3 linked regions of the Oryzias latipes genome follow. The protein of the gene in region 2 interacts with the protein of the main gene of each other region in a pairwise test. Links are inferred from orthologs where the notes say so. Each region holds a gene or a part of one and is shown on either strand. Other genes may lie near its edges.

The links.
Region 1: the proteins of trip10 (region 2) and was interact in a two-hybrid assay, tested with the Homo sapiens proteins (2 studies listed by BioGRID). The link is inferred for Oryzias latipes from reciprocal best matches to the Homo sapiens genes TRIP10 and WAS.
Region 3: the proteins of trip10 (region 2) and abl2 interact in binary tests that used the Homo sapiens proteins (3 or more experiments, as listed by UniProt). The link is inferred for Oryzias latipes from reciprocal best matches to the Homo sapiens genes TRIP10 and ABL2.

The regions. Positions count from the first base shown.
Region 1 is NC_019865.2:21,093,414-21,100,282, forward strand, and holds the end of was (wiskott-Aldrich syndrome protein), read left to right. Parts: intron 1-139; coding exon 140-169; intron 170-253; coding exon 254-289; intron 290-391; coding exon 392-590; intron 591-659; coding exon 660-838; intron 839-912; coding exon 913-1,466; intron 1,467-1,585; coding exon 1,586-1,694; intron 1,695-1,790; coding exon 1,791-1,849; 3' UTR 1,850-4,845; downstream 4,846-6,869. Other genes in the region: semaphorin-3F, read right to left, coding at 5,056-5,433, 6,755-6,869. UniProt on the Homo sapiens protein: Effector protein for Rho-type GTPases that regulates actin filament reorganization via its interaction with the Arp2/3 complex. Important for efficient actin polymerization. Possible regulator of lymphocyte and platelet function.
Region 2 is NC_019866.2:8,477,159-8,484,145, forward strand, and holds the start of trip10 (cdc42-interacting protein 4), read left to right. Parts: upstream 1-3,235; 5' UTR 3,236-3,560; coding exon 3,561-3,584; intron 3,585-6,987. Other genes in the region: icam5 (intercellular adhesion molecule 5), read left to right, coding at 1-1, 89-316, 401-664, 769-965. UniProt on the Homo sapiens protein: Required for translocation of GLUT4 to the plasma membrane in response to insulin signaling. Required to coordinate membrane tubulation with reorganization of the actin cytoskeleton during endocytosis.
Region 3 is NC_019862.2:31,427,811-31,433,246, reverse strand, and holds the end of abl2 (Abelson tyrosine-protein kinase 2), read left to right. Parts: coding exon 1-1,713; 3' UTR 1,714-3,553; downstream 3,554-5,436. UniProt on the Homo sapiens protein: Non-receptor tyrosine-protein kinase that plays an ABL1-overlapping role in key processes linked to cell growth and survival such as cytoskeleton remodeling in response to extracellular stimuli, cell motility and adhesion and receptor endocytosis.

The sequences.
Region 1 (6,869 bases), on a different chromosome or scaffold from region 2:
GTAAATGCATGTTTGAATATTTACAAATTCTGTGTTTTTAAGTTATATGGTAAGATTTTTTGTTGTTAAAATACTGAAAGAAACAGTTTGCACTCATTCAAGTGTTTTTGGTGGCCTGAATTTTTTTTCCTGTTGACAGATAAGAAACAGCGCCCCCTACCGACGCCTGGTAAATACACATTTTTTACACTATTTTTGGATAAATTCCTCCTGCATTTCAGAATATCATTTTTTCTCCTCTGTTTTGTTGTAGATCGAGGTTCCTTGCCTCCAGTTCCTCCTGACAAAGGTGTCTTTTTTCAAATTCAATTTCAAATTGTGGTTTCAATATTTTTTTTTCAAATTAAATAAATATATGATAGTGTCTTAATTGGAATTTCTTTCTAAAAAGCAGCAGCTGGTAACCACGGTTCCTTTCACATGGCAACAGTGGACATCCAAAACCCAGACATCCAGTCTTCACGTTATCGCACCATGCCTCCACCCCCTGCTGCTACAGCTGTAGTTATTAATAATAAGAAAAGCAAGAAAAGCAAGAAAAAAGGTCCTAAACTGTCCAAGGCAGACATAGGAGCTCCCAGCGGGTTTACGTAAGAAATGGAGTCTTTAGAGGTACTCATGTGTTGCTGTCTGTTTATTCCTGCTCTCCTCTCTGCCAGGCATGTGTCGCATGTTGGATGGGACCCCAATAACATTGACCCTAATCTGCTGAAGCTGTTCTCCCAGGCGGGCATTAGTGAAGCTGACCTCAAGGACGAGAAGACCTCCCAGCTCATCTATAATGTCATTGAGCAGTCCGGGGGAATTGAAGCTGTCCAACAGGAGGCAAACAGAGCAGGTTGGATGCATATGTTTGATCGTTTGATCATTTTCAGAGCCTCTGCTAAATGCATAACTCACATGTTCTACCAGCTGCTGCACCTCCACCACCTCCACATGGCAGACAGGGAGCCCTGCCTCCTCTGCCCGGCTCTGGGTCTTCCGCTCCAGCCCCTCCGCCCCCTCGAGGTCGCTCCGGCCCTCTACCACCGCTCCCAGGTCAATCCCAGCGGGGGAGCCCGACTCCAAATCCACCTCCACCACGTGGGGGCCTGCCACCTCCGCCTCCATCAAGCCGAGGGGGCCTACCCCCACCCCCTCCGCAGGCTCCACCCTCCTCAAAACAGGGTGCCTCATTCCAAGTGTCCTCCCACATCATGCCACCACCCCCACCACCATCATCATCAAACAAACGCTCCATGGGGGTTCCTCCCCCTGTCCCATCAGCACCCACCAGGGGAGGGGGAGGGGGACCTCCACCACCGCCTCCACCACCCCCACCTCCACCTCCTCAAACCCCCATTCCTTCAGATTTTCCACCTCCTCCACCAAGTTTTGATTCCCCACAACCTGCACAGACGTCTGCGGGAGGAGAAGGCAGAGGAGCGCTGCTTGACCAGATCCGACTAGGGAAAAGTCTCAAAAAGGTTATTTTTTTCCAAGAAATACAAAAGATAATCAGTTTTCAGATTTCCATGTTTAATTTACTTATTTATTAATTTTAAGATTTATAAAAATTCTGTTTAATCCTCCCTCTCTGATACAGGTGGAGAACTCTGATCCAGCTCCACCTGCGGCGGCAGAACCGGCCCCGGGCATTGTGGGTGCTCTCATGATGGTCATGCAGAAGAGGAGTAAAGTCATCCATTCCTCTGGTAAATGCTGGAAATCAACTGCTGTGATCACATACGTGCTTGACTTGAGCTGTCAGAAGAAGACAAATGTAACATTTTTATGTCCTCACTTTTCAGATGAAAGTGAAGATGAGGGAGGAGATGATGATGATGACGATGAAGAATGGGATGACTGATCTTACGTTGATGGTTTTTGTGTCTTCTTTACTTTTTAACTGTTAAATACAATGAATTCGGCACAGACTCGCGTATTTCAAACTGGACTATGACTCATGTATATGTACTCACATTGCCAAAAGTATTTACTCACTCATTGCAAAATTAAATGTAGGTGTTTTTAGCCATTTCCATGACAACAGGTGTATAAGGTCATCGACTCATAAATGCAGACTGTTTTTGTAATTGGGTGGGAAAGAATGGATCGTTCTCAGGTTAGCAGTGATCTCATGGGGCGCAATGGGATAGGTTGATACCTGTGCAACAGGTACAGTTGTTAAACCTTCATGCTGCTGGATATTATGACCAAGTGGAAGCGAACAGCAAATGGGTGGTGGGTTTCCTACTGATGTGATGTGCGCAGAGGTTGCCAAATTTGTGACCTACAAACCTCCAAACGTCCGATTTCAAATTAGTTCAAAACCGGGGGGAAACTTCATTGAATGTGTTTCCATGACTCAGCATCTGCACCCAAACCACACACCGTAAATCAGATACCGTACCGCTACAAGAGTTTTGAAGAGTTCTCTCCATGTATGAAGTTTGGTGGTGGGGTTGTTTTTTCATGAGCTGAGCTTGTCTCCTCTGTTCTAAGAAAAAGAATTTCTCAATATTTCAATATTTAGAAGATTTTTTGACAATTCCATGCTTTCCGTTTTGTGAAAACCAATTGGAGAAGACCTTTTTCTGTTTTAACATGTCCACACACCAGTGCAGAAATCAAGGAGCATGAAAACGTGGATGAGGAATTCGGTGTAGAGGAACTTGACTGGCCTCAACCTAATAAAACGCCTTGGGGTGAATTAGAGAGAAAACTGTGAGCCAATAATTGTTCAACAGTAGTGTCTGACTGGACAAATGTACTTCTGGAAAAATATTCAAACATTCCCATTAACCCTTGTGAAAAGCCTTCCCATTGGTGGTAAAACCTGTTAAGCTACGGACACATCGGGCATGTGATGTACCTCCAAGAACCTGCTAAACGTGGGTTCTTTAATGCAGATTTGGCCCATGGGGTTCACACTGGACTAGTAGGGAGGGGCTTCTTCTTCTTCTTTTTCTTTTGCTGCTTTTTACTAGTGCATGTCTGCCACCCACAGTTGGGAAAGGCTTGGTGCAAAATGTTGAAGCGGTGCAAATCCTTTGAATCTTACTCCAGACTTTTTCTTTTCCGGCTCTATTCCGACATATGAAAGTCTATATGTCATAGAATTCCAGCCGTGCACAAAACATGATCATTTCTGCTCTGTGATCAATTTTCAAACGGTTTGTACTTGTGTGAATTAAAAGGGATGGCATCCAAACGTCACTACCAAATCTGAGTCCCTCATTGGTCAAAGTTCAACCTGGTTTAACTTGCAATGCTGGTTCATTGACCGCGCGTTTTGTATGTAGAGCATGAAAATGGACTTGAAAATATTACAGCTATGCACGAATGGGAGAGTTTTTAACACGGTAGTCCAAAACATGCATTTACATGCATTTCCACAGACTTTTCATTAAAAGTGGTCACGTGAACATGTGTTACAGAGGGCGATGTGAAGGTAGCTTCATTTTGAAAAAAATGGTCCAACCTCCAATTAAACCCAATGATTTGTGGAAGCAATGTCCCTTCAATTCATCTATGTCCAAGCAGAGAAGCGACTATTTTTGGCAATATAGTGTATGTATTAAAGGCATGTCGGTGATTAAGTGGATATACACACAAGTGTAATGGCACGTGGGTGGGTACAGTTAAGCTAGCTGTTCTTGCAGACATTTAAGATAAAATTCTAGTCTTTGTCCTTCACAAAGATCCAGACCAGCAGATGCTTTAAAGCTGCTCACAGTATTCTTTAAAATATTTTCAGGATCTTTTTTATAGTCCCACCAACCACCATGTTCCACTGTAGGATTCACTTCCTTTTCCGAAAATAAAAACAGCATGTCTCAAACCCCCTAAATATGGTTCTATCCATATTAATTTCCAAAACTTATTTTTAAAGATTTTAAATGTCTCAAAGGGCCACAAGTAGAGCAACTTTTTGGGTCATGATTTTGAAGATGAAAAGCTGTTTCCTATGATCATGATGAACCAAGTCTATTTGACATATATCCAACACTTATTTTATTCACCTATTTGACTTTTAGTAATTGTGACTCAATTATTTGGTATTTTATGAATTAAAAGGGAAGATTTAACACTGAGGACTGTGAAGTTTTATACAGAATGCATTTTACCAGAATTCTAAGGAAAAGTTTCTAAAGTTTTTTTTGTTCGCTCTTATTGTACATATTTACTTTGTAAATCTGCAAAATATGAACACCATCAATGCACTGCTAAGCCAGTTTCATTACCCAGTTTATAACACACTGTACATAAAAAAGAGATTTTTTTGTGCAAAGATCCCTGTTTCCCTCAAATGCCACCACCAACAAAGTGCATAACTGGAAGAACACTGTATGCTACACACATCTTCAATATTCACACACTATAGCTCACAAAAGCACAGGACACTGAGGCGAACATTATACATCTACATCCAATGGAATTAGCTTAACAGAATACATTACACCTCACAAAGATCGCAACATGGCAAGTCTGAAAACGGAACAACAGTCAATTGTACAACTTGCAAAAACAGCAATATGCATGCAAAATATGCATTTATGTCAGTATACGCTTCATACAATACAATGGTAGAACAGGTCATGAACACATATATTATATCCACAATCAATATATTACATTTTTAGGATTCTTGAAAGAAAGCAAACCTGTTTTTTGGATGTTTTAATGCAACAATGTACACAATACTTATGCGTTTTTGTCAGATTCTTTCCAAACTTTTATGAAAAGTGTGTTTTATTTCACTGAGCAGCCTCCATGTTTGACTATTCATTTATCTTAGTATTTTTTTTTTTAACCACAGTGACTTTACATGATAATAAAGTTGCTTTTTGGCATTCACAGACGCATAATGTTTAGCTTGTGGTCATCAGTTGTGTAAACTTTATTTTAAATGCATGTTTCAGGGCTGACACCTGTAAAGCCATCAACACTTTACCGAAAAAGAGACATGTCATCAGTAACGTGATAAGTGGAAGTCACACCTCAACATGTTTAAAATGAAAAGTTCAGCATAATAAAGTCCATTCAGGCCCGAGTCAGGTGGTGTTCAAGGTTCTAACCGAGCCCCTGGTCTTGGCTCTCTGTGTGCCTGCGGCTGGTGCGTTTGCGCTGTTGCTGTTGTTTGGTGTTGTCCGGTTCCCAGTAGGTCTGGCAGTACTGGTTGATTAGTCTAATCTCCGGGGAAAATGGAGTGGGAGAGTCCGGCAGGCGTGGGTAGGCTGGCGCCTGGCGAGTTTTCAGCTCCTCATCCTCATCTTGAGCGGTGAGTGCTAGGACAATGTCTCGGTCGAGGATGCGCAAAGCCACACGAGCCAGCGTGTGTTTGAAGTTGTTTTCAGTGGCGAGGCAGTGGTAGAGACCGGCATCTGACTGATTGAGAGACTTCAGCAGGATGCCGTGGTTGGTCTTCAGAACTCCTCCAGCTCGGTTCAGCTGCAAAGAAAATAAGAAACAACAAAACTCACACCGATCTTTTTGTCTCATTGAGGGATTTAAAAAGAAGAAACCTTTTACTTTGATTAATTGCTAAAAATATCAGGTTAATGCAACTATTGACATACACTAATAAAATGTGGCTTTCAGTGGTTTCCAATAAGTATTGAAAACAGTAATGAAACAGTAATGTTCAGTATAAAAAAAAACTAAAAAACCCAAAGACCAAAGATTTTTTTCAAAAACCTTAAATTTACAAATTTAAAAGATTAAAAAATAAAATATTTTTACTATTTAAAATAGTGTAAATACATGGTTGCTCACATGTCAAAAGTGAAATTAATATAAAATAATATAAAGTTAATTCACATGAAAATAACATCTAAAGCAGCTTACATTCGTGGATGTATCCATCTCAAATGTTTGAAAACTCATAAAATCCAAAAATTTATCATTTTGGATTATGTAATCTTTTTAAAAGAGGCATTTATTTATAATTGGGGAAATTTATGAGCACATTTCAGGAGGTCAACAATAGATTACTCAAGTAAATGTTAGCTAATTTTTAATATCACATGTAACTTACAATTTTTGCTCAATTCTTTATGTATTCAAAAATTTGAATGTATTTTTACAGTTTATTTATTTGTTATTTGCATTCCCTTTCAAATTAACTGGTTTTCTTCAGCACGTATATAAATATATCGGTATGTTACATTATCTTTATTTTCTGAAATACAAAGCCACAGTTAACTTTTTGGTGACGAAAAGCAGGTTCTGAGATTTTTTCTTGTTTTTTAACAGGCCTGTTGTGCTTCTTGTGATTAGTATGTGTCTCACAAAGATCTGCCTTTGATGATCAGTTGGAATTTTTAAACGGTTTGATGCATTAATATTTAAAATCAGGTGTTTTTTTTCAATGGAGAAGCTCATCAAAGGCGTGTGACATGTGACCTGAATAAAAGTGCAGAGTTGATCATTTGGTGATGCATCAAAGATTACATTTTGCTTAATATATTTTTTAACTTTGATTTATTTGTCACACACATTGTCATAAATTATCAGTTTGTTTGATCTTTATGGTTAAAAACTGAACATTTATCTTGTTTTTTAATTAGTGCCTAAAATCCAGATTAACCTAAATATATTAATTGATTAAAAAATGTTTTAACAAGAACTGTTTTATGCATAAATAACCTTTTTCTAAAATCATGGTTTTACCATGAATTTCAGTATCACTTCTCAGTTTGCTTTAGAAGGTTTAGAATGAGGTGAAAGTTTTTTGGGTTTTTTTTGGCATGAAAGGACAGATTTTCCTCACCACTTTCCTCTTTCCTTCTCTCTGGAAGAGCCACTTCACTGTGGCCTGAGGGGAGCGAGGCTGACACTCCAGGAAAGTGCTGCTGCCCTCCACACCAAACTGCACCGTCTCTTTC
Region 2 (6,987 bases):
TGTGAGTAAACTGTGCATCATTCTCCAACAGAAAATACTCAAACCCTGACATTACATGTTTTTATAATCTAAATTTGATTGCTTACAGATCCCCCCAGTTTTAACTGTAAAACACGTTACGAGGCTAAAATGAACGGTGAGCTAAAGACTCCATGTGAGCCAGAAGGATCACCTCCACCCACAATTACCTGGCTCAAAAATGGAGCAGAGGTATTTTCCACTCGGCACTTGACAAAGGAACACAGTGGAAATTACACCCTCAAAGCAACCAACAAGCACGGAACAGCCCAACACACGTTTTATCTGGAGATTTTGTGTATGTTTACCCTTTCACACAATTACAGCTGTGCAAAAATTAATATACTAGAGCTAAATGGAACATCATTTCTTCCATCCATAGATCCACCTGAATTCAACCAGGGAAACACAAGCGAGGAGATAATCCCCGGTCAAAACATGACTTTGGACTGCAGTGCTGAAGGCAACCCTGAACCAGAGACCCACTGGAACTTCACTTCTGCTGAGAATCTGCATATGGCCACTGTGGGGCGCCACAAGATCATGACCATCACAAGAGCCACGTCTACCAATGCTGGCCATTACATCTGTGTTGCCTCAAATAAACTTGGAAGGGTGACAAGATCTGTTTTACTGATTGAGATGGGTATGTATGGGGATTGCTTGAGGGGGAAACACTTCGGTTGGTTACAAAGTGGATTACAGATGAAAAACACAATTTTTATGTAGGTTATTTGGTTTATCTTACAGGGAAAACCAGTGATGGGCCTCTCTCTGGCTCTGTTTTGTGGATCATCATCTGTAGCATCTTCCTCACCCTCCTCCTCGTCTTTTTGGTTGTTTTGTTTTTTTACAAGAAGAGAAAACGTGGCAAATATAATGTTGTTAAAAACCAGGAGCCCTCACAGATCCCCATGATTAATATAACTGCTGCAGCGAATCCTTAGGTACGGAAGCACAATGCTGTTACCTCAGTAAAATCAACAAACTTGTGTTGTGTTGACCCACACGTGTTTTGTGTTTTCAAGTTACATTTTTACTGTATATCATAGAAAATTTCAAGTTTCATACTTTTTTGTTGTTACAACATATATCCTTTAAGAGCAATTAGTTCAGTAACTCAATTTAAAGAAATGTATGTTTTTTTTGTAAAAGTATTCATGTTATTGTATATTATTATTCATGTGACAATAAATACCACCTCTTTACAAGATGGAGAAAGGGGAATAGATTTTCCAGTTTTTGTTGACTTCTCTCATTTATTTTGATGTTAGAACAAAAATCAAGTGATTTTGTGACAACTTAATAAATGATGGAAAATATTGAATTTAGCTTTGGAGACGGTTACTTTTAAAGGGGGCTGGTCCATTACTCAGTTTCTCAAGCAACTAATATGCTAGGAAATTGTGACAAACTCTTACGGTTATGACGTAATAGTTTGCACATTAAAATGTAAAAACTGTACTCAAAAAAGGAAACTGAGAGTTGTTTGGACGTAACCGATATTACTTGTTCACAAAGCCTGATTAAATTGTTGTGGAAAGAAATAAGGCAAATTTGAGGTGTCAATGCAACCGTGTCAATGCAACCGCGCTGAGATGATCGTTCTCTTTATACATCTGAATTTCTAATCAAACATATACTACAAACCTGGTACTGATCAACTCAATAAATCAGTTTCAGCTCTGCAAAGATAAAGTGAAACTCATTTTTCCAAGACCCGTCGTGCGTCATTGGGGAACTGAAAGAAGACTCAGCATTTCTGAGCAAATATGAGCGTTGATAGACAGTTAAAGCCTGGATGCTACTTGTGAAGAGGTATCCAAATCTGAAGTTGTTTGGAATAATTTTTGTTTTACACTTTATCTGGATAGTACAGAAAGTATTGTACAAAATTCAAGATAAGTCAGACTGTCTGCTGACTGTAGGTTGATATGGTGGTCATGAGGAACTTCATCTTCCTCAGCTGGCTGTGGACATGCTGAACAATCAAAGCCAAACCAAAAGGTTTTTCCTTTTTTCATAAAATGATTTAATTAATCCTGTGTCATTGCTTTACAGTGTTAAAATTAAATACGCAATATCCTATTTTTATGGATATAAAATGAGTAAAAAATATCATTTTTTAACAGCTTTATCTTCAAAAGTGTCCAATTCACCATTGCATGCAGTTGGGCACTGATTGTGCATGTGAAGACAACAATTGATGCCTACGTATTTAGAATAAAGCTGTAAATACATAAATATAAATCTCATTAAGCTTTCCTTCACCAAACAAACCAGATATTATTTAACGTTGATACCAGAGTCACTGAGATCAGATGCTGTGACTGGAAGTGTCACTTTGAGCTGCTGCTGCCCCCAAAATAAGTTTGCCAACAGTTACAGGCATGTGACAGTAAAGAAGGGCAGACCTCTTCTACTGCAGTTTTGACTGCAGCTACATTTCACACGCTAACTGTAGTCAAGGTCCGTTTCCTTTTTGCATGACTGCCAAGCTGAGAATTTATTTTTATTATTTATAATAGTTTTGACCAATCAGAGGAGTGTTTACTCTGCAAATAAGTCAAAACGTCTTAAAATGTGAAAATTTTTCTTTAAATAAGCACAAAAAAATTGTCTTACCAAGACTTTTTTTTCTTGAGAAAGAAAATTCTAGTCAAGAAGACATGTTTTCTTAAACTAAAATTATTTTGCAACAACAATTTTTTTTTTGCAAGAATAAAGTTTTTTTCTTTCTAACCATTCAGTTTTGGTAGTGTATGGAATGTTGAACAACAGACATAATCCTTTTTTGAAGTCTGTTGAGCTAGGTTTTTCTGAATTGTGTTAAAATATTTGCAAACTTGATACAGAAACAGAGCTGGTAAATGTCAGTTATTTTTATTAGTGAAGGTTGGCAGTATATTTGGTATGATTTTTTATGTGTATGCATGTTAAGAACAATCATTTCTGTTTTGTAATTTTTTTAACGTTTTGTTTGCTTTGAAATGTTTTTTTTTTTTATCTCAATATATATTTAGAATAAGAGACCAAAATGGCACATTTGAAAATGTCTGTTTTTATTTGTTTTTCTTTTCATTTGAAGTCAGATGAAATTGTCTATATGACATATTTGGAGTACTGCTTCAGTGAAGTCACCCGTACTGGTTGTTGAGCCCCTGACCCCCCTGTGTGCTGGACGCGCCCCTGCAGGCCGTCAGGATGTGGCACGGAGGGCCTGGCTTTAGCGCGCTGGCCCTTTAAGATTTAGGATTTGGGAGTGACGCGGACATGAGAGCCAGTTTGTCCCTGTTTCCTTTGCTATGAAAAATATTTGGACTAACAAGCCTAACGACTGCCAGCCCAGGTTGATTACTTCATCTTGATGCGGGTTTTACGTGATTTGCAAGCGAAATCAACCCCGCAGCGTGTCGTGTTTGAGGCCGATTCAGCGCGTCGGGATTAGAGCTTTTTGCGGGGCCTCCCTCCCTGCGAGCGGCTGGGATAACTTTGGAGAACTTCTTTGTACTCGGGAGAAAGCGCTGCAAACCCAGCGGAACATGGACTGGGGCACGGACCTTTGGGTGAGTTCATCAGTCGACTCTTGTGTAAACTCAGAAAGTGAAAAATATACATATTTTTAGACTCTGAAAGACGAGAGTTGGAAAAGAGCTTGTAATCAGTGTCTAAAGAAAGTTTGGTCATGAACGCATCTCGACTTTTAAACGTTTACTTCAAAGTAAAATCAAACAATTTATTTGCTCTAACATTTTTAGATTAAAGTCATCTTTCTTTCAAACAGGACGCAGCAAACATGCATTTTTTTTTCCTGTTCAGTCACCGATGCACGACAGCGTCCTTTGTGTTAGTTTACATAGAGATCTGATCAGCTGATGTGCTGTTTCTTGGCAACATCCCACATCACTGCTGTACCATCATGCACCTTCTGTGCGCGCGCAGGACTGGGTATGCATTTAAATGAAGGGGTTCAGAAACTATATATCGCCACTGTCAGGATTGAGCATGTTCAGAACAGAAGCATGCACATGCTCCCTGTAAACCTGAATAGTCTGAAGTGGAGCATTGCAGAGATGCAGGGTAGGGGAGATTTTGACCTCATTGCAGTCTCCCCCTAGGCCTCTTCCCCTGTCCCTTTTATCATCCTGTGCTGGTTGCTGCGATAGCCTAATTAGTTTTTGTCCTACTTTGATTCGTGCAAGGACCCAGTGTTTATCAAACATTTTACTTAGGCTTTTTTGTTTTTTCCAGATTTTTCCCCCCTCTATTTAGTTGTGCCACTTTACAATAGACTTAGTTGAAATTCTCAACAATAAACCTAATAAACTGTCATGGATAAATGCATAAAATCTAGTATTGATTTTAGGTGTTGTGGATATTTTACCGTGACTCTTGTGTTTGGTGTGATCTCACTTGTCTAGCTGCACAAAGCTCTGCAGCCCTAATTGGTTTTGTGAATGTTTGGCTCTTAAGTCAACCTGTGGAGCAAGTCAACCCTTTGGCATCTGTCCCCTGATTGTAATCTGGTGGCTATTTTAAGCCACACTTTGTGCCATGCAAGATCCCCGTGTCTTCTTCAGGGGGTGATGGTGAACATCCCTCCTGTGTGGCAGATCTGCCTCTAGTTCAGATAGTCAGTGACTCAGGGCTTGATGTTCACAGCAGCAATGTTATCAAGTGACTTCCTGTGCAGCTCCTTCAGATGCTTTGCGGCTTTCACTTGATGACACGGCGGGTTTAACGGGTTAAAATGTCACCCAGAAAGAATTCTTGGGATTGTTCTTCTGTGACTCAGAGAAACTAAACTAAGGAAAATTTTGTGGTAGTTTATGTTCTAAAACCTCTAAAGCTAATTTTGGAATATCGATAACTTCTTTGAATGACTTTGTGATGGTAACTCCTATAGGATGCCTTATTTACCTGAACATAGTTGTTCTTCCTGTGACGGTTGTCATAAAAAAGTTGGTTTTCTTTCATGATGCATTTAATGGCTTAAATGGGATTTGTATGTGTTAGTTAATTGAAAATGCATTTTAGGTTTTGGAAATGGTTAATGTGGTTTCAACAAGTGTCCTTCTATTCAGTATTTTTTTTATTGATGAAACACAGATTTTGCTTCATAAAATGATCAACGGCTAAAAAAACATATTTTTAATGTACTAACTTGAAAGCGTAAACATAAAGAAAAACTAAGCTTTGACTTGAGAGAAGGCCTTTTATTTGTTGAAAACCATGTTTGCAGTCACAGGTTTCCGGCAGCAGCTGTGGTTTTTATCGAGCTGGTTCAAGTGAATAAATGCCTACCTGCATTTTTTTCTTCTTCTACCCACCTCATCAACTATGTCACAGGCTTAGCAGCAGGAAAACAAGACAAAGACAACAACCACAAAAGAAATATGTGCAGACAAAATATGTAAAATACTAAGAGCTAAAGATGAAATGTAGTTTGTAAAATAAATAAAACAGAAAACATGATAAAGTTTTCCTACAAGCTGCATGAGCTAGAAACTTTAGAGCACAACTGCAAATAATTGCAATAATATTTTCTATGTTGAGTAAAATATGTAAAAAAATAAAAGTAAAATATGATGTGAATGTGTAGAATTTTTTTTAAATTAATAAATAGAAAAGGACTTGCAACAGTTGGATTGTAATCAATATTGTTGGTAGCATCATGGTTTGGGCCTGTTCTGTGAATCTATGTCAGGTTATTTGGCTATCAAAGCCTATGTGAAAAAATGTGAAGCTCCTCTCGTGTAGAGCCTCGATACACAGTCTTTACCGTATAGAAGGACAATCTCTGGATGAATTGTATAGATATTGTTGTCTAAAGTCATCCTATTTAGTTCTGTGTGGCTATCAGTTCTTCTCTCCTTCCTTTTTTTTTTTACCAACAAAACAGTATTTCTTTTCTCATAGTGCATATCACAAAAGCACTGGGGTTTTGTAACATTTCAGTCTCTTTTTTTTTTATGTTTCCTCAACCCCAACTGGTTAAGGTCCAAGTCCACACTTTGTCGTTTTGCCTTTGCAGTGGATTTTTCTTTAAAAAAAGAAAATAAGAAGAGGCATATTTCCTCCTTTATACGGTCACCAGCTGCTCTGCACATGGTCAGGATGGGGATTATTTAAACCCCTTTTACTTCAAACTGTATAATTGTGGATTTCATACTTTATTATATTTTATTTGATTTTATTTCTGTTCTTTGGAGTCACAAATAATTCTTCAGTAAAACTGAACAGATTAGAGTATATTTAATCATTTTGATTGATTTGCTGTGATGTTGACCTCATCATTAATTTACGGTAAATTTTTTTTTTTTGTTCAGTTGGAATAAAATAAACATAGGTTGTTTTTTTTTTACCTATGGCATTTCTCTGTAACAGATTATTTGCAATTTGGCATTGTATTGTGTATTGTGAGACTGCAGACATTGTGTGAAGCCACAAGTCAAAATTAGAGGAACAGCGAACTGCTTACACTATAAATTCAGCATTGGTCTAAGTCAGACTGAAAACTGGACCACGCAGAACAAATGTAGTTTTCCCAGGATGAGTTAAATGTACCCAAATGTAAAACATTCTATGATACAATTTTTTTTTTACTTAAATGGTGATGTTTGGACATTTTAAGTTTCCATGACAACCCATCATCCAGTCTGCCTCCTTATGCTAAGCCTGTACCATCACTTTTGAACAATTTTCCTCCAAGCAATTTTTGAGGCAATTCTGAAAAAAGTTGAAGCCCCTGGTAAGAAATGAAAGGAATTGATCAACGCGTGCACCATACTTTAATATATCAGAATAACAACACTAATTTTGAAGTTTTAAAAAAAGCAAAGGATACTCTTTTGAATTTGAGATAAGGAACTGCAGGTTTTTGAGTTCTGTCTACCAATAAAGAAAATTATTTAATGGGCCAACCTCAATTTACATTAAACTTAAAGGAGAACACAGAATAAAAAAAAA
Region 3 (5,436 bases), on a different chromosome or scaffold from region 2:
GCGCTCCCCAGGAAACAGCAGCTGCGGGATAAATCTCCCAGCAGCCTCTTGGAGGACGTACAAGACATGGGCACATTCACCAGAGACCGCAAGACCGGCTTCTTCAGCTCCTTCATCAAGAAGAAATCCTCCTCCTCCTCGCAGTCTTCGCAGCAACAGAACCTCCCGACCCCCCCCAAGAGGAGCAGCTCCTTCCGGGAGGAGACGCAGCCTCACAAGAAGTACGAACCCACGGCGGACTTCAGCGCTCCCCTTCCCCTGCCCCAGCCGGACGGCGTCGGGGGGTTCTCTCCCTCTCCGTCCCACTCCCACGGGGAGCCCAACCAGACGCAGCCCCGCTGCTGTGGTGCAGCGTTCGGCCAGAAACCCTCCAGTGGAAGCTTCAGTTCCCAGCTTACCAGCGGGAGCAGCTGGGGGGGGCTGGCTGGCTTTTTCACCCCGAGACTCATCAAAAAGACGCTGGGGCTGCGGAGCGGAAAGACGGCCTCCTCCGACGAGGGCGGCGGTTTAGGCGCAGGACCCAAGCCTTTTCCTCGGTCCAATTCTACCTCCTCCATGTCAGCGGGACTGCCAGACCTGGAGCGCATGGCCCTGACGTTACCCAGAAACCACAGCGCCAAGCCCCTCCTGGAGAGGACTGCCTCCACCACCTCCCAGCCGGAGAACGGGGCCGCCAGGCCGTCCGAAACCCTGCTGAAGAGGATGGACGAGGGCACCGCGCAGATCAGGGAGAGGCCCAAAGCCAAGCTGCTGCCCCGCGGGGCAGCCGGCAGGGCGCCGGGCGTGGGAGGGGAGGCGGGCTCTGACGGCACGTCCCGGACCAGAGAGGAGAGCCCGGGGCTGGACCGGCAGCAGAGCTGGTCCTCCCCGTCTAAGGGGAGCATGTCGTCTGCCCCCACTCACAACCACAAAGTCCCCGTCCTGATCTCCCCCACCCTGAAGCACAGCCCCGCCGACGTGCATCTGGTGGGGCTGGACTCTCAGGGGAACCGCTTCAAACTGCTGTCGGAGAACCAAGCAGACAAAGACCGGCCCCGGCTGGTCAAACCCAAATGTGCTCCTCCTCCACCTCCCACTCTGCGTAGCCTGCAGCCCGCCCCCAGCGGCAGCGGAGAGGACCAAGCCCCCGCAGAGATGAACGGAGACACGCTGAAAGGTCACAGGTCGGGGCGAGCGTCAGGAGGAGCCAGCAGACCGTCAGTGCCACCACCTCAAGTGCCTCCTGCTTCTTCCTCCTCCTTTTCCTCCTCGTGCCCCGCCAGCGCCAACACAACCCCCACCAAAATGGCCAACGGAGCCCCCACCACTGCTTCCTTGCACACAGCAGCGTCCGTGGGCTCCAAGGGGGCCCTGCGCCGAGCCCGGCAGCAGGCGGAGCGGGTCCCTTTGGAGCGGGTCAGCCGGGAGGCCCTGCTGGTGTGCGCCGAGGGGCTGAGCAGCGCCCTCCACGCCAGCTGCGAGAGCCCCTCCAGCAGCCAGGTTCTGGACGCCGGCCACCAGCTGCTGGACTGCTGCTCGGGTTACGTGGACTGCATCCCTCTGACCCGGAACAAGTTCGCCTTCCGGGAGGCTGTGGGCAAGCTGGAGCTCAGCCTGCAGGAGCTGCGGGCGTCGTCCTCGGGGGGCGGGGGGCTGGGCCACACGGGACCCAACGCCGTGTTGGACAACCTGCACAGCTGCATCAAAGAGATTAGTGACGTGGTCCAGAGGTAGCCGCTGTGACGTCACTGATCCTGACCGTCACCACGGTTCTGGTTCCAGCCAGAGCTGTTTATGAGGGGCACAACATGAAAGTACCTCACGGAAATCACTACAACATGTCTTCTTTTGTTTACAAAAAGCGGTTTTCATAACATGCCAGTGTGGACGCTATCGCATCTCACAGCTGTAAATATCCAGAAAGAGTTTCACCCAACACGCCGTTTCCATCGGGCAGTCAGAACGGCCTCCTGAAGCGAATGTCAAGGGTCAAAGTGAAGGCGTCCATGACCAGCCTTACAGAGGAAACGGCCTCCAAACCCAAACCTGACCTTCTGGGCTCCGTGCTTCTTTAAGTCTGACAGTTGTGATCAAATGAGAAAATTTGACGCGTTAATGGAGGCGTTTGGGTTCAAAATGGTCAGAAAAATGGCTGAAATGACAGTTTGGTCCGTTGTGAGAAGGGTCGACTCATGGAACCGTGTTTACCGTCTGTTCCCCACAGCGCTGAACCGTTGAAACGGCACTTCTGCTCCTCCGTGACGTTCCCAACTGTCACGTGTGGAACGCCACAGTCCAGAACTTCCCACCAAGTGGACGCTGCTGCACACTGAATGTTGGAGGAGGTGCTATGGGGAGCCACATGGGGGGGCGGCTCAGCTCTAAGTGCCCTTCACAGCGCCGGCCGGACGCCCTGCAGCCTTCTCCTGTTTACAGTGCCTCAGATTTTTCCCACTTAACAAAACCAGTGGAACTAAAACCTACAGCAGGTTGCAGTATTTCTCCAGCACATGAGTTTGTTTGTTTCAACAAATGTCTTTAGAATGTATGAACTTGAATTTTAAATTATTCTTTTTTTTTTTCTTCAAAGCACAGACATATAGAGGTTTATAAATATGTGATTTATTTCATGTACACACAAAGTGTGTGGCCATAGAGAAACGTCCACCCAGATCTGAACACGCGCTCTGAATGTATTGGTCTTCTGTTCTGAACCCGGTCAAACGTGTCTTTGCTTCTCTAAGGTGCCATATTCTTTCCTCAGTCACACTAACTGCCCACAGGTTGCTTATTTGCCCCCCGAGCACACATCCTATGTACACTGGATATGATCTGAGACGCAATCAACCATAACAAATGCTGAAGAATCGGACAACACTGTAGCTCCAACACACATCTAGCAATGAAACTTGATGGAAGTTATTGGGTTGAATTATTTTGTGATGAAATAATTTCTCCTTTTTGTGTTTTTGTCATTTTGGTGCCTTTTTGTAGAAAATCGACAGTAACTTCAAGGAATCCCTGTATGTCGGCGTACCTTAAAGGCTGCTTTAAGAAGCCATAACATGAACATCTATACGGAGGTGTAGTTTGATCAGTGATGCTTGACAAGAAGACACTAAAACTGCAGCCCCCCCCCCCCCCCCCCCCCCTCTTTGGACAGCCCTTCAAAATGTTTTATTGAAAATATAAAAGTTATATTTGCCATAAAACTCAATGGTTCACGTGTTTTTGTTTTTTTTCCTTCCTCCCGTTTCTGCTACTGGGTTCTTTCTCGTGCTTTTATTTTGTTTTTACAATGTCTCCCTTTTATTTTGAAAGGAAAGGGGGTTCTGGAGAATGTGTGTACACAACATGATACCAAAGGCCACTTCTTCAGTTGGATTAGTGCAATGTAAGATCAACACAGACACACCACAGTGAATGAAACAGGGATAAAATGTCTGATGTTAACTTTTTTATTGTACAAAAATATGATTTTTTTTATTTAAAGCTCACTTTATGTTACTGTGAAGTTGTGCTTATCAGTGTTAAGCCTATTGTAAATAATAAAGATTTTGATGAATGCGTCTGAGTCTTTGCTCCTTTTTGTGACTCAGAGATTTTCTAAGAAAACTTTTACATGTGCTTATTATTACATGTAGTTGTTGTTAAATATTGTAAAGATGCAATAAGAAAAAAACTATAATATTTCTATAATATTTGATAAAACTAAACTATTACTATGAAAAATATGATTGAATCTCTTTTTCAACTAGATTATAATATTAATCCATCAGAATTTGCATTTATCCTCTGCAATAAAACAGATAATCTAAGGAGTTTTGCCATCATTTCTGCTATTTTTTTAACAATAGACAAAGACAAACTTTAGGAAACGGAGATGCTCTGCATAGAAATGAACCCAAAAGATTCTACTACCTTTAAATGTTTGTCATTGTGTTATTTTGAATACGCTGTACTTTATTTTACATTATATGTGAGAAAAAGTTCTGGTAAAATTACAGATCCAGAAAAAATGGATCAGCATGATTAAAAATCCAAATATGTTTTCCATTTTAGAAATTGTTTCACAGAGCAGCTGCTTTTTTAAGATGTTCAAACCAACATCTGTTCTTTATTCATCTGTCTCTTTATTTAGGAACAATTATGGTTCTGTCAAAGTGCTAAATAAAGTCAATAGAGTAGATCTTCATTCATTCATTAAAAAAGTCTTAAAAGCGTTGAATTTATGAATTTAGAAATAATGCCTTAAGAAATGTTTAGAATAGAATGGATCATCTTTATTTATCCCTCAAAGGGGAAATTGTCTTGTCTTCGGCAGCAAAAACAGACATTCACAAATACAAACAGCAAAAACGTGGCTTTCACAGAGGATAAAGTGAATTTAAACAAAAATAAATGAGTGAAAATACAGAGCAAAAGCAGCCGTTAGAGATAAAAAAAACTACTGCAACAGAGGGTCAAAAGGCCTGACGTGATGTCTGAGCCTTAAAAATTGTGTTGTTTGAAACTTCTCTGTTTCATACGTTTTGTCAAAAACACAATAATTTTGATCAAATAATGTAAATAAAGAGCGGAAGAACCAACCGTTATGGACGGTGAAAACCCCACTGCCTGTTCAGAAAAAGACGTGCCAAAGCATCGCAACACAGACCACAAACAAGATCAGAAGCTGCAGTTTGGATCAGAACACAGGAATAAATGAATAAAAAGGGGAAGGAGGCTGAGAAGTTAGTCTTAATTTTTTTTATATGCATGGCTTTAAAAAGGTCTTTGAATTCTGAAATTTAACTTAAAGATCTTTGTTGGAACACAGGGTCACAAGGTCACTGTACTCAACCCAGAAGCTGAAGGTTGGAGGTGAAAGTCACCCTGAACAGTTCTACCATCAAACATCTCAAAGGTTCTTCCTCAGTCCAGATCAATCCAGTGAGATCCGGGTGTTTTCGTGGCCTACCAAGGTTTTCTTTGTGTTATCCCCACGCTGAGCAAGCAGACGGCGACTGTGGAGAGGGAAACTCCCTCTGTGTGGAAGGAATTCCTCCAGCAGAACCAAATTCAGAAACCATCTGCTGTGAACACACTGAGAGGACGAGGAAGAGACGATGAAGATGCTCATGTGAGACAAACACGGACGGTCAGAAGCTGCAGCAAAGAGGGAAAAGAATGAATACAGCTGGGAATCTGTTAATGAGCAACAGAAAAAGAAGACAGTTGCTCAGGAAGATGAATAATGTTATCAATTCTGCATTTTGCAGCCTTCAATTTGGAGTCAAAAATGACAAAAAAAATCCAGTTTTCAGTAAAATGATGTTTTACTTTCAGAAGTCATTATATCCACATATGATGATAATAGGGCCTGTATGTCAGCATTGAAACATACATTGTTCCATATAGAGCCGGAATTCTGACCTTTTATTTATTTATTTTATTTTTTTCTGAAATGTATTTAAT